Daphnia pulex: one gene and its partner. The protein of the gene in region 1 interacts with the protein of each later gene in a pairwise test. Links are inferred from orthologs where the notes say so. Each region holds a gene or a part of one and is shown on either strand. Other genes may lie near its edges.

What was found.
Region 2: the proteins of RING finger protein unkempt-like (region 1) and headcase protein homolog interact in binary tests that used the Drosophila melanogaster proteins (3 or more experiments, as listed by UniProt). The link is inferred for Daphnia pulex from reciprocal best matches to the Drosophila melanogaster genes unk and heca.

Annotation. Positions count from the first base shown.
Region 1 is NC_060023.1:5,054,836-5,059,367, forward strand, and holds the start of RING finger protein unkempt-like, read right to left. Parts: upstream 2,970-4,532; 5' UTR 2,748-2,969; coding exon 2,495-2,747; intron 2,361-2,494; coding exon 2,152-2,360; intron 2,093-2,151; coding exon 1,869-2,092; intron 1,761-1,868; coding exon 1,526-1,760; intron 1,474-1,525; coding exon 1,293-1,473; intron 1,235-1,292; coding exon 886-1,234; intron 810-885; coding exon 500-809; intron 449-499; coding exon 287-448; intron 214-286; coding exon 85-213; intron 1-84. Other genes in the region: PHD finger-like domain-containing protein 5A, read left to right, coding at 3,219-3,270, 3,338-3,528, 3,634-3,723. UniProt on the Drosophila melanogaster protein: Essential for late larval/early pupal development.
Region 2 is NC_060028.1:336,721-341,193, reverse strand, and holds the start of headcase protein homolog, read left to right. Parts: upstream 1-1,614; 5' UTR 1,615-2,143; coding exon 2,144-2,437; intron 2,438-2,501; coding exon 2,502-2,908; intron 2,909-2,978; coding exon 2,979-3,075; intron 3,076-3,531; coding exon 3,532-3,720; intron 3,721-3,995; coding exon 3,996-4,040; intron 4,041-4,140; coding exon 4,141-4,278; intron 4,279-4,473. UniProt on the Drosophila melanogaster protein: Required for imaginal cell differentiation, may be involved in hormonal responsiveness during metamorphosis. Involved in an inhibitory signaling mechanism to determine the number of cells that will form unicellular sprouts in the trachea.

The DNA of each region.
Region 1 (4,532 bases):
GGAAGGAAACAGTACTATCACTGGACGTTGCTAATTAAAAAGCACCCAAGATTATCATAAACAAAGCCTTTGCTGTAAACATACCTCATCACGCTGTTGCTCGGCAACTATCGCTTTGCATCTCCAAGCATCGCAAGCATTCCTGGCTTGCGACAAATCCTCTTCTAAGGAGAGCACTTTTGCTTGGTGATTTGCCGCATCATCTCGCAACCTCTGTAATTTTGAATCATTTTGTTACTTGGTATTACTCAGTTAGTAAAATTAGTTAATAATCGTTATTCCGTACGTCATGATTTCCAAGCGATCCACTCATCGAAGCCACACTGCTTAGTAATGGTGAGTGGTTAGCACCGGAGCCTGTCAATCCTCTACAACTGTTGTTACTTGGACTAGTTTGGTGATTCCCCCAGTCAATAAATGGTGCACCGGTGTTACTATAACTTCCAACCTTCAACAAGTGTTAGCTAAGCAAGAAATTCTTCATTGGCAAGTCAATTACCCTTTTAAAGAAAAGAGAAGTCGAATTGTTTGATCCTTCCAATGGTATTTCGTGAGCGCCAACTCGTATTCCTGAGAACAGATTAACAGCCGGTGGTGAAGGTGACAAGCGAGGAGGGTGGCGATCAAGTCCACTTCGTGGAATATTAACCGGAGCAGACCCCGTCAGCAATCCTACACCCATCGTTATTGATTCACACAATGAAGGTTGTTCGGATTCATATTCTCGACTACTATCCTTAAACTGCTCTTCATTTTCATCCATTGCATGTCCAATAACGCAATCTGGAGCATTTGTTGAATTGCTTAATCTATACATAATAATTGTTAGGGCCTTGCTCACAAATTAATTAAGGTGGGATGAATAGTAATAAGTAATAACGTTACCTAGCCGCAGTCGGAAAATACGCGGCTGGTTGAAGATGTGACAATAGACCACCCAACGTTCCCGTACCGTATAGATTAGATTTCTTTGAAAGAGTATCGAATTGATCGGGATTTGTAATGGGATCCCATTCATCTCGATCCAAACTTATCATTCGATCGATTCCTGATGAGTTCATGTCGGCCCCTGGCACCGACAGTGATCTGGGTTTACATATTGGGTGTACTAGTGGGCCAAAGCCACCTATGGTGGTCCCAACTGCCGTTGGACCACTAGAAGCTAAAATTGATTCGCCAGTTTCAAGACTTTGTAATCGGCTGTAAGCTGTTTGCATAGGAACGCTAGTGCTTGCTGTGAGGAGAAATAACTCTAAATATTTGACATGAAATGCTAGGAAAAGTAGTAAAACCTGTGGCGGATGACGAAGTAGAATGGGTATCCAAAATGCTTCTAGGAGAATTATCTAGAAGTAGATCGATACTACGTCCGTCATTCAAGTCATTCAAATTGGTATTTTCTTTTCCGTAAGTTCGGTTATTTACAGCAGGCAATGCACTGGACAAAAGTTCAGCCAAATTGTTTCCACCATCCTTAACAGAAAAAATAGTAAGTTTTGGCAAAAGATTATAAATACTCCATTACCTGGTATTGACCATTATCTCTTACCACTTCAAAATCTCCGTGAGCAAAAGCACAAAATGATCCTCTAGGACAATAACTATTCGTCTGCATGTCATGACATTTAGTGGATTTGTATATCTCTGGATGAAATTGCTGCTCAGTTCGGGTGTGGCAATACTGACACATATCTCCGTTGTCACACCCAGAAGGATCACCCCATTCTTCTCCATGCTTGGCGTTAGGACAGGGTGTAGAACTAAACAGGAATGAAAAAAATAAAAAAAAATAATAATATTATTTTTTTTTTGAAAATTGCTTACAAAACACAAGGTTATATTACTTAAAATATATAAGTAATACATACCGGTATTTAAATTTTTTAGGACTCCTTCTGCGGTCTCGGCTGTTGTGATACTGAGGACAGGCATAGCCTTGTCGACATAGACGTGGCGGTTTTTTGCATTGCTCTGTTTTATAATTGGTTAAAACATAGTTTGTGTCCTGCCATTTGGGATCATCATTCAGAAGACTTCTTTCTTTATCAAGGGCATTAGGTCCACTCATATCTGCCTCAGCAGTTTCTTTAGCCTGTGATAATCAAAGCTGAATTTTTAAATGTAGGAAACAAATTTAATGATTTGCATTACCCTTATATCTCTGATGTCATACACTGGATTACGTAAATCAGAATTCCCATGAGCAAATGCACAATGAACTCCATTTTTTACACAGAATCCTCTTGTGTCAGTTTCATGAACACATGGAGCAGTTTTGAAGTACCTCAAGTGATATCTTCTCTCTGTGTCACCAGCAGTACGATGAAGGAAAGGACACTCATCACCATCTTGGCAAATACCTATGAAGATATAAGGTTTTATTACCTAAAAAGTTAACAGTCAAGTAGAGCAGAAATGCATATTTTAAAATGACAATGTTCCATTTTTATTGTAAATTTTGAAAGCAAAAAGATACAAAGTTTTTTTAGAATACCTGTAGTTTCATCATACTTTGTGCAATACTCATCAGCACTGTAATTCAAAGTACCATCCCTTCTGCGTACAGGTTTGCGCCTTCTTTGATTTTGAAAATGCCAGTGAAAGCAGGTGAATGGTCTATGTTGTGTACACTTGTGTTGTAAAAATAAAGGGCACTGTTCGACGCGGAATTTGTAAATATACGCATGATGCTGAGGTATTTCAGATTGCTGAATGGTTAAGTCGCGTGCAGTTACGTTATCAGGCATTTTTAGAAAATTGCACGTGACAACTCCCAGTAAGTGAACAGATCAAAAATTAAGACCTGAAAATTATTAGTGGATGTTTTGACGTTAGAGTAAAATTCCGCAAACTTGTAGAATATTTAAATTATTGACGTTATAATTTTTGTTGATACGCAACATACGCAACAGTAAAAAAAACCTCGTGACATCTAAATGAAAAGGCCAAAGCACCTTCCCCAGTTTTTGTTTGCAGACAACGCCGTCATGCTTCTGTAGCTTCCGCATTTCACTAATAGATGGCGTTTCTATACCGTCGTTCCTTGAAAAACCAGAAATCAGAAACTAGAAAATTGCCGGCTGTGGGCTGGCATTGAGTTGCTGAATGTTTACAGGTTTTCAAGGCAAGCAGCCAAGCAGCTTGGCGTTTTTACAGTTCACGTTGGGTATCCCGCTTTTAATCAAATATAATTGATCGACAAATTTGAAAACTCAACTATGGCAAAGCATCACCCAGATTTGATATTTTGTCGGAAACAACCAGGAGTTGGTATTTGAACATGAAATTCTATTCTTTTCATGCTATCTATTATTAATGTCTGATTTTGAACATTTAGCTATTGGCCGGCTGTGTGAGAAATGTGACGGAAAATGTGTTATCTGTGATTCGTACGTAAGACCATGTACATTAGTACGAATCTGTGATGAATGTAACTATGGATCATACCAAGGACGGTGTGTTATCTGTGGAGGACCAGGTGTCAGCGATGCATACTATTGTAAAGAATGTACAATTCAGGAAAAAGATGTAAGTGTGTAGTCCAAGTGATGCTTTTTCATTTTAGTTCTTAAGATTGAAGTTATATTGAAAGCTTAACGTATTTGATCTATTACATATCTTTGTTCTTTTCAGAGAGATGGGTGTCCAAAGATTGTTAATTTAGGTAGTGCTAAAACAGATTTGTTCTATGAAAGAAAAAAGTATGGTTTCAAGAAGAGGTAGCCTCATCACACTTTCCATTTACAAAAGTATGAATCTTTGTTGTAAATGAACAACCTTTGTGAAAAATACACCTTAATTTCTTTCTATCTGTTCAAGTAAAAAAAAGCCTCATTAAATGAAAAGGCCAAAGCACCTTCTCCAGTTTTTCTCTTTTTATCTCTTTGGGTAATAAATTAAATAGTGCTATCATTTTCTCCTGCTGTTTCTGTTAAAAGTTAAAATAATTCAAAATAATACTAAAATTTTTCATTTAATTTTAAAGATATTAGACAGGTTTGCATTGCAAATAAACAAATATACATTTGGTGTGTAATTGCTGTACCAATGAAATATTTTGCAAGCAGTAATTAAGACAGCAAAAAATATATTAAAATAAGTAAATCTTATATTGTAAGATGGCGAAGTTGTCCTAAATATATCGGGGTGGACGATTTTTTTTAAATATTGTTAATTCTAACCACGAGCAAATTTAATGAATAACAACATGATAACAATCAGATTCCCTTCAATGTACAGTGGGCACCTAAAGTGTCCGGACACCCGAGAGAACCTTATGGGAAAACCGCTGTTTTCGCAAGGCGAAAAAGTGGTCAAATTTTCATTCGATTTGAATGAAAATTTTTTCGTAGGTTCTCTCGGATGTCAGGAACAACCAATTTTTTTTTTTTGAATTTTAAAATAAGGGGAAGGGTAGGTTTTTGTCCGAGGCAAAAGTGTCCGGACAGTAGAGAGGCCCATATGTAAATGGGCTTACTTTAGGTTCAAATTGTGACTCACTGAGAAATGCTAGAGAAACGCAAACGGTCTTA
Region 2 (4,473 bases), on another chromosome or scaffold:
TCTTATTTGAATTAAAAAACCATTCATGAACATGATATGTTTTCCCACTATTTGTTGGGCCAGAATGAAATACAATTTTGCTTGTCAAGGCTCTTGCTTTAGAGTACCTACAAATATAAAAACAACCAAAATGAAATTACTCTATAAACAATCATGTGAAATAAATTATGGAAACAAACTATCTAAATGACAAGCTCCTGTTATGATATCACTTAGGGTGTTATGTAAATTGTCTGGCAACTTGTCATCTTCAAGACAAAATTTTCTGAAATAGAAGTATGCCTGAAAAAAAAAAAATGAAATAACTCTAAAACAATCATGTCAAATAAAGTATGGTAACAAACTATCTAAATTCTAAATGACAAGCTCCTGCTATGACATCACTTAAGGTGACTTGTAAATCGACTGGCAACTTTTGTCATCTTCAAGACAAATCTTTCTGAAACTGACATGCGTCTGATGATGTATGTAATCTGCAAATAATTTTGTGGTTTAGTTTTCATCATACAGAAAGATTAATGAATAATCAATACAACCTGTCAATTCTATTTTCCACAGCTGCAGCTTTCTTTTTTCTTCGTTACAAAATTTCAACCATTAAATCATGCATGCCTTTTAAATGAGGGAAATTTGTTTTGCATCCAAATAAAGTCTGGTATGCAATGATATCACTTAAGGTGACATGTAAACAGTAAATCAATTTCCAACTTGTCATCTTAACGATAAAATTTTCTGAAATGGAGGTATGTCTGATGATAAATGTAATCTGCAAATAATTTTGTTGATTAGTGTTCATCACACAGAAAGATAAGCGAAAAAAATGAACACATACTCTCAATTCCCTTTTTTTGAACGTTTTCCAGTTGATTCAGCACCTACATGTGAACCATCTGCCAATGTGGTTCAGATTTGATAGGTAAAGGAACCATCAGTTGTGACACAATAGGCATGTTTTTCTTTCCTTATTATAATGCTGCAATAGTTAAAATTTGAAATATAAACATAGTGCTTCACAAGATGAAATCAATCACAAACATTCAAACGATCAAATTAAAATACCCACAGTAGGCCATGCCACATTCCACAAGCAGACTGGCTGTTGCAAATTAACGTCGTCTGCTAGTCAGCACACAATCAACTGAAAGTCAATCTGTGTGTCTTTTTCTTGGTCAAATATCTCGCGAACCACAAATAACGTAATGCAAATTTAGTCTTTTCCGTTAAATGATAGGTTCATCTTTCAATTAGAGGTGGTTGCATCCTCTAATTTTAGAAGACATTTTTTTCCTATATTTTAGAAGTTTCCCCTTTTTTTCCCCTTTTTGCTCCCAATCTCTCGTTAATTTCGTTAATACTTAAAAAATTTAGTCATTACCTGTGTTAAAAGTCATTCTACATCGAATGGGATTAGTCGCGTCGCGATCGGAGCAGCACGAACGTGTCACGGTCCCGAAAACCACTTCGACCAATCACGAATTGCCCCAATTCCCCAGGGACCTCTCACAGTTAAGACTATTTGGAGCGCTGTCGGAACTTTTGTTTCTTCAAATCTCTCACCCTTAAAAGGCGGTAAGCCTTCGGCTTTTTAAAATAAGAATTTTAAAAATCTCTCAGGGATAATATTAATAATGCCGTAATAAAAGAATAGAACGTCTGGACATGCTGAAACTTTTGTTTCTTTTCGCCATTTCCTGTCGGTTCCCATTTTCTTTGTGTCGTGACAACACGTTTTTCAGCATCTCAAATTTAATTTTAAATTAAAAAATCGTCAAATAAATTCAATAGAATTTAGACATTCAAATTCATCGAAATTTCTCGAGAGAAATAAAAAGAATTATTTAAAAAATAGGTTGTCGGAGAATTCCGCCAGACGGCGTGGCGAGAAGGACAAGTTATACTATGATGGCGAACGTGATGAGTCGCATGTTCTTCAGTCTCTGTCGGTCGGCTGTCGAGTCAACAACGCCACACGCCACAGACACTGGAAACAATTTAATATCCCCCCCTCTTCCACCTTTTTTCTTTTGAAAAAATTTTGTTTTTGTTGGTGATCATGCGCAGATCACTGACAATCATCGTGTTGTTAATGTTGAATTAGTTACAATTGTTGAATATCTTTTGAAAAAGTATCTTGGAAGAAAAAATGCCCAACAACATTCAAAATGGAGAATGTTGCACACCGGCCGGCTGCATGACGATCGTCGACGGAATAACATCATCTGAAGGCAGCAGTAATGAAGATGGTGGTGAAATTGTTAAGGTGTTGTGTAACAACGAGCATTGCCCGACCAGCGGCCTGATGCATCGCCAGTGCTTCGATCAGTGGGAGGCCTCGGTCCTGCACTATTTGCGTAGTTGCGGCCGCGCCCGTAGTTGGTCCGAGCGTCAACGAAGTCAAAATCTGTGGACCAAAAAAGGATACGATTTGGCCTTCAAGGTAAAATTTAATTTCATTTCAAATTAAATTGAAACTGTATAGTTGATTGTGTTTGGTGTGTTAGGCCTGCGGGTGTCTGTGCGGACGTGGCCATTTGCGCAAAGATTGCGAATGGCAGCCCAAGAAACCGTTGGAAGTAGCAGCAGCTGTTGTTGGCGAAAATGAGCAAAAGAATAAACAACAACGGCGTAAATCGGCAACAACAATAGTTAAGGTCGGCCCACAGCAACAGCAACAAGCCGTTAATGTTAAACCCAGTAGTAGTAGTGCAGCCCAAATGATGATGAACAATCAAATTCGTCACCGGGCCAATAGTCTGTCGTCTACCGGATCGACGACTTCATCTTCCGGCTCCAGTTCACCACCTGAAGCCGTCAACTCTTCATCTTCTTCTTCAGCCGGAGCCTCTTCCGCTCCCGTCTTTGTTCTCAGCAATAACAAGAATAAACGAACTTCCAACGATCGGGAAAGGTAAAATTCTTAATTTCACGTTTTATTAAATGAATATGAATTAAATATTTTGGACACATTTTGTTATCAGGCGAGGATCGGGAAACAGTGGCCTGTTTGTCCATCGGGCCAACTTTAGTTCATTCAATGCGTTACCACGCCACAAGCTCAACTCTTATCACATTAAAGTAAGTCCCCTACTACTCTAGGTCGTAATAGGCAGGAGGAGTGGTTCTTCTCTTTGTGTATCAAGGTCATATGTGTGTTGAGGGGGGAAAGCAGATAACCGGCTGCACGTGGAGACGGTCGCCATGGCAACGTTACCTGCTTCCCATCTTTCGGCTGGAAAAATATTTCAGAAATTTTTCCATCTTTTATTTTCGCGTTTACTCAAAAGGTTATCGCCTATGGGCAAAGTTCGAAATTGATACCAAGTGAATGAACTGGGATTTTAATAAATATAAATAGTTAAATGATAAGAACAAACTGCTGAATCAACATTTACTATGTTGATTTTTTAAAAAAGATGGAAGACGAAAAATAGTAAAGAATTCAATTATTTATCATTAAATAGATGCAAATTAAATAGGTGCAACATTTCTAATTTAAAATGTTGGTTTTTATTTTATTTAAAAAAATAACAGATGGAAGACGAGGGCAGCTACGGGAATGATGACATTCGTTGTTTCATTTTGTCTAATTTGGCCACGGCGAAAATGTCCAAGACATTTTGCGTCGTCTGCCAGAACGCCATGCAAATCTACGACAGGTATCCGCTCATTGACGGCACCTTCTTCCTGGCTCCAAAGCAGTACTCCAAGGCCTGCATTCCCGTAAGAATATTACGTCAATTTTTTTTTTACTTTTTGCAAATATTTATCGTCCTGGCTAGACATACACAGGTAGTGTTCAATGTGACCTTGAAAAAAACTGGATATCGATCTGAACGATAGTAGTCGGCACGTGTAGTAATGGCGCGGATTTGGTTTGTTGCGTAGCCCAAGGTTTTTTTTTTCCGCCAATCCGCTTTGAACCAGTTTTCTCTCACGGACATTCAATTGACAATTTGGGGGTTTTAATTTTGATTTATTTTAATATATTTAAACAGGTGACTTCGGAAGGACGTCAACAATATTTGAGCGCCGTGTGCATGGTGAGTGGTGATTTCTAGCCATTTTGACTTAACGTTCAACCCGAGACACACACACGAAATATAATAATTCATACGATCTATTTGTCGGTGTGTTTTGCAGTCGTGTCTGGAGGGTTGGACGTGCACGTTGAGATGCCGGTCGTGCCGGACGCCGTGGAACGGCGGCTCGTTTATTCTCGGCACACTGTACTCTTACGACGTATTTGCTGGCACTCCGTGTTGTCCAGAACGCCTCAGGGTGAGTCCCTTTTTTAAAATTTAATTGCACTTGAGAAATTATTAATATCCGCCATTTTTAATTTAATTGTAATTAAATTAATTTTAATTCAGTTTTTTCATATTTATTTTAAAATCATTTTTAAATTTAATTGCACTTGAAAAATGTATTAAAAGCCACAATTTCTAATTTAATTGTAATTAAATTAATTTTGAT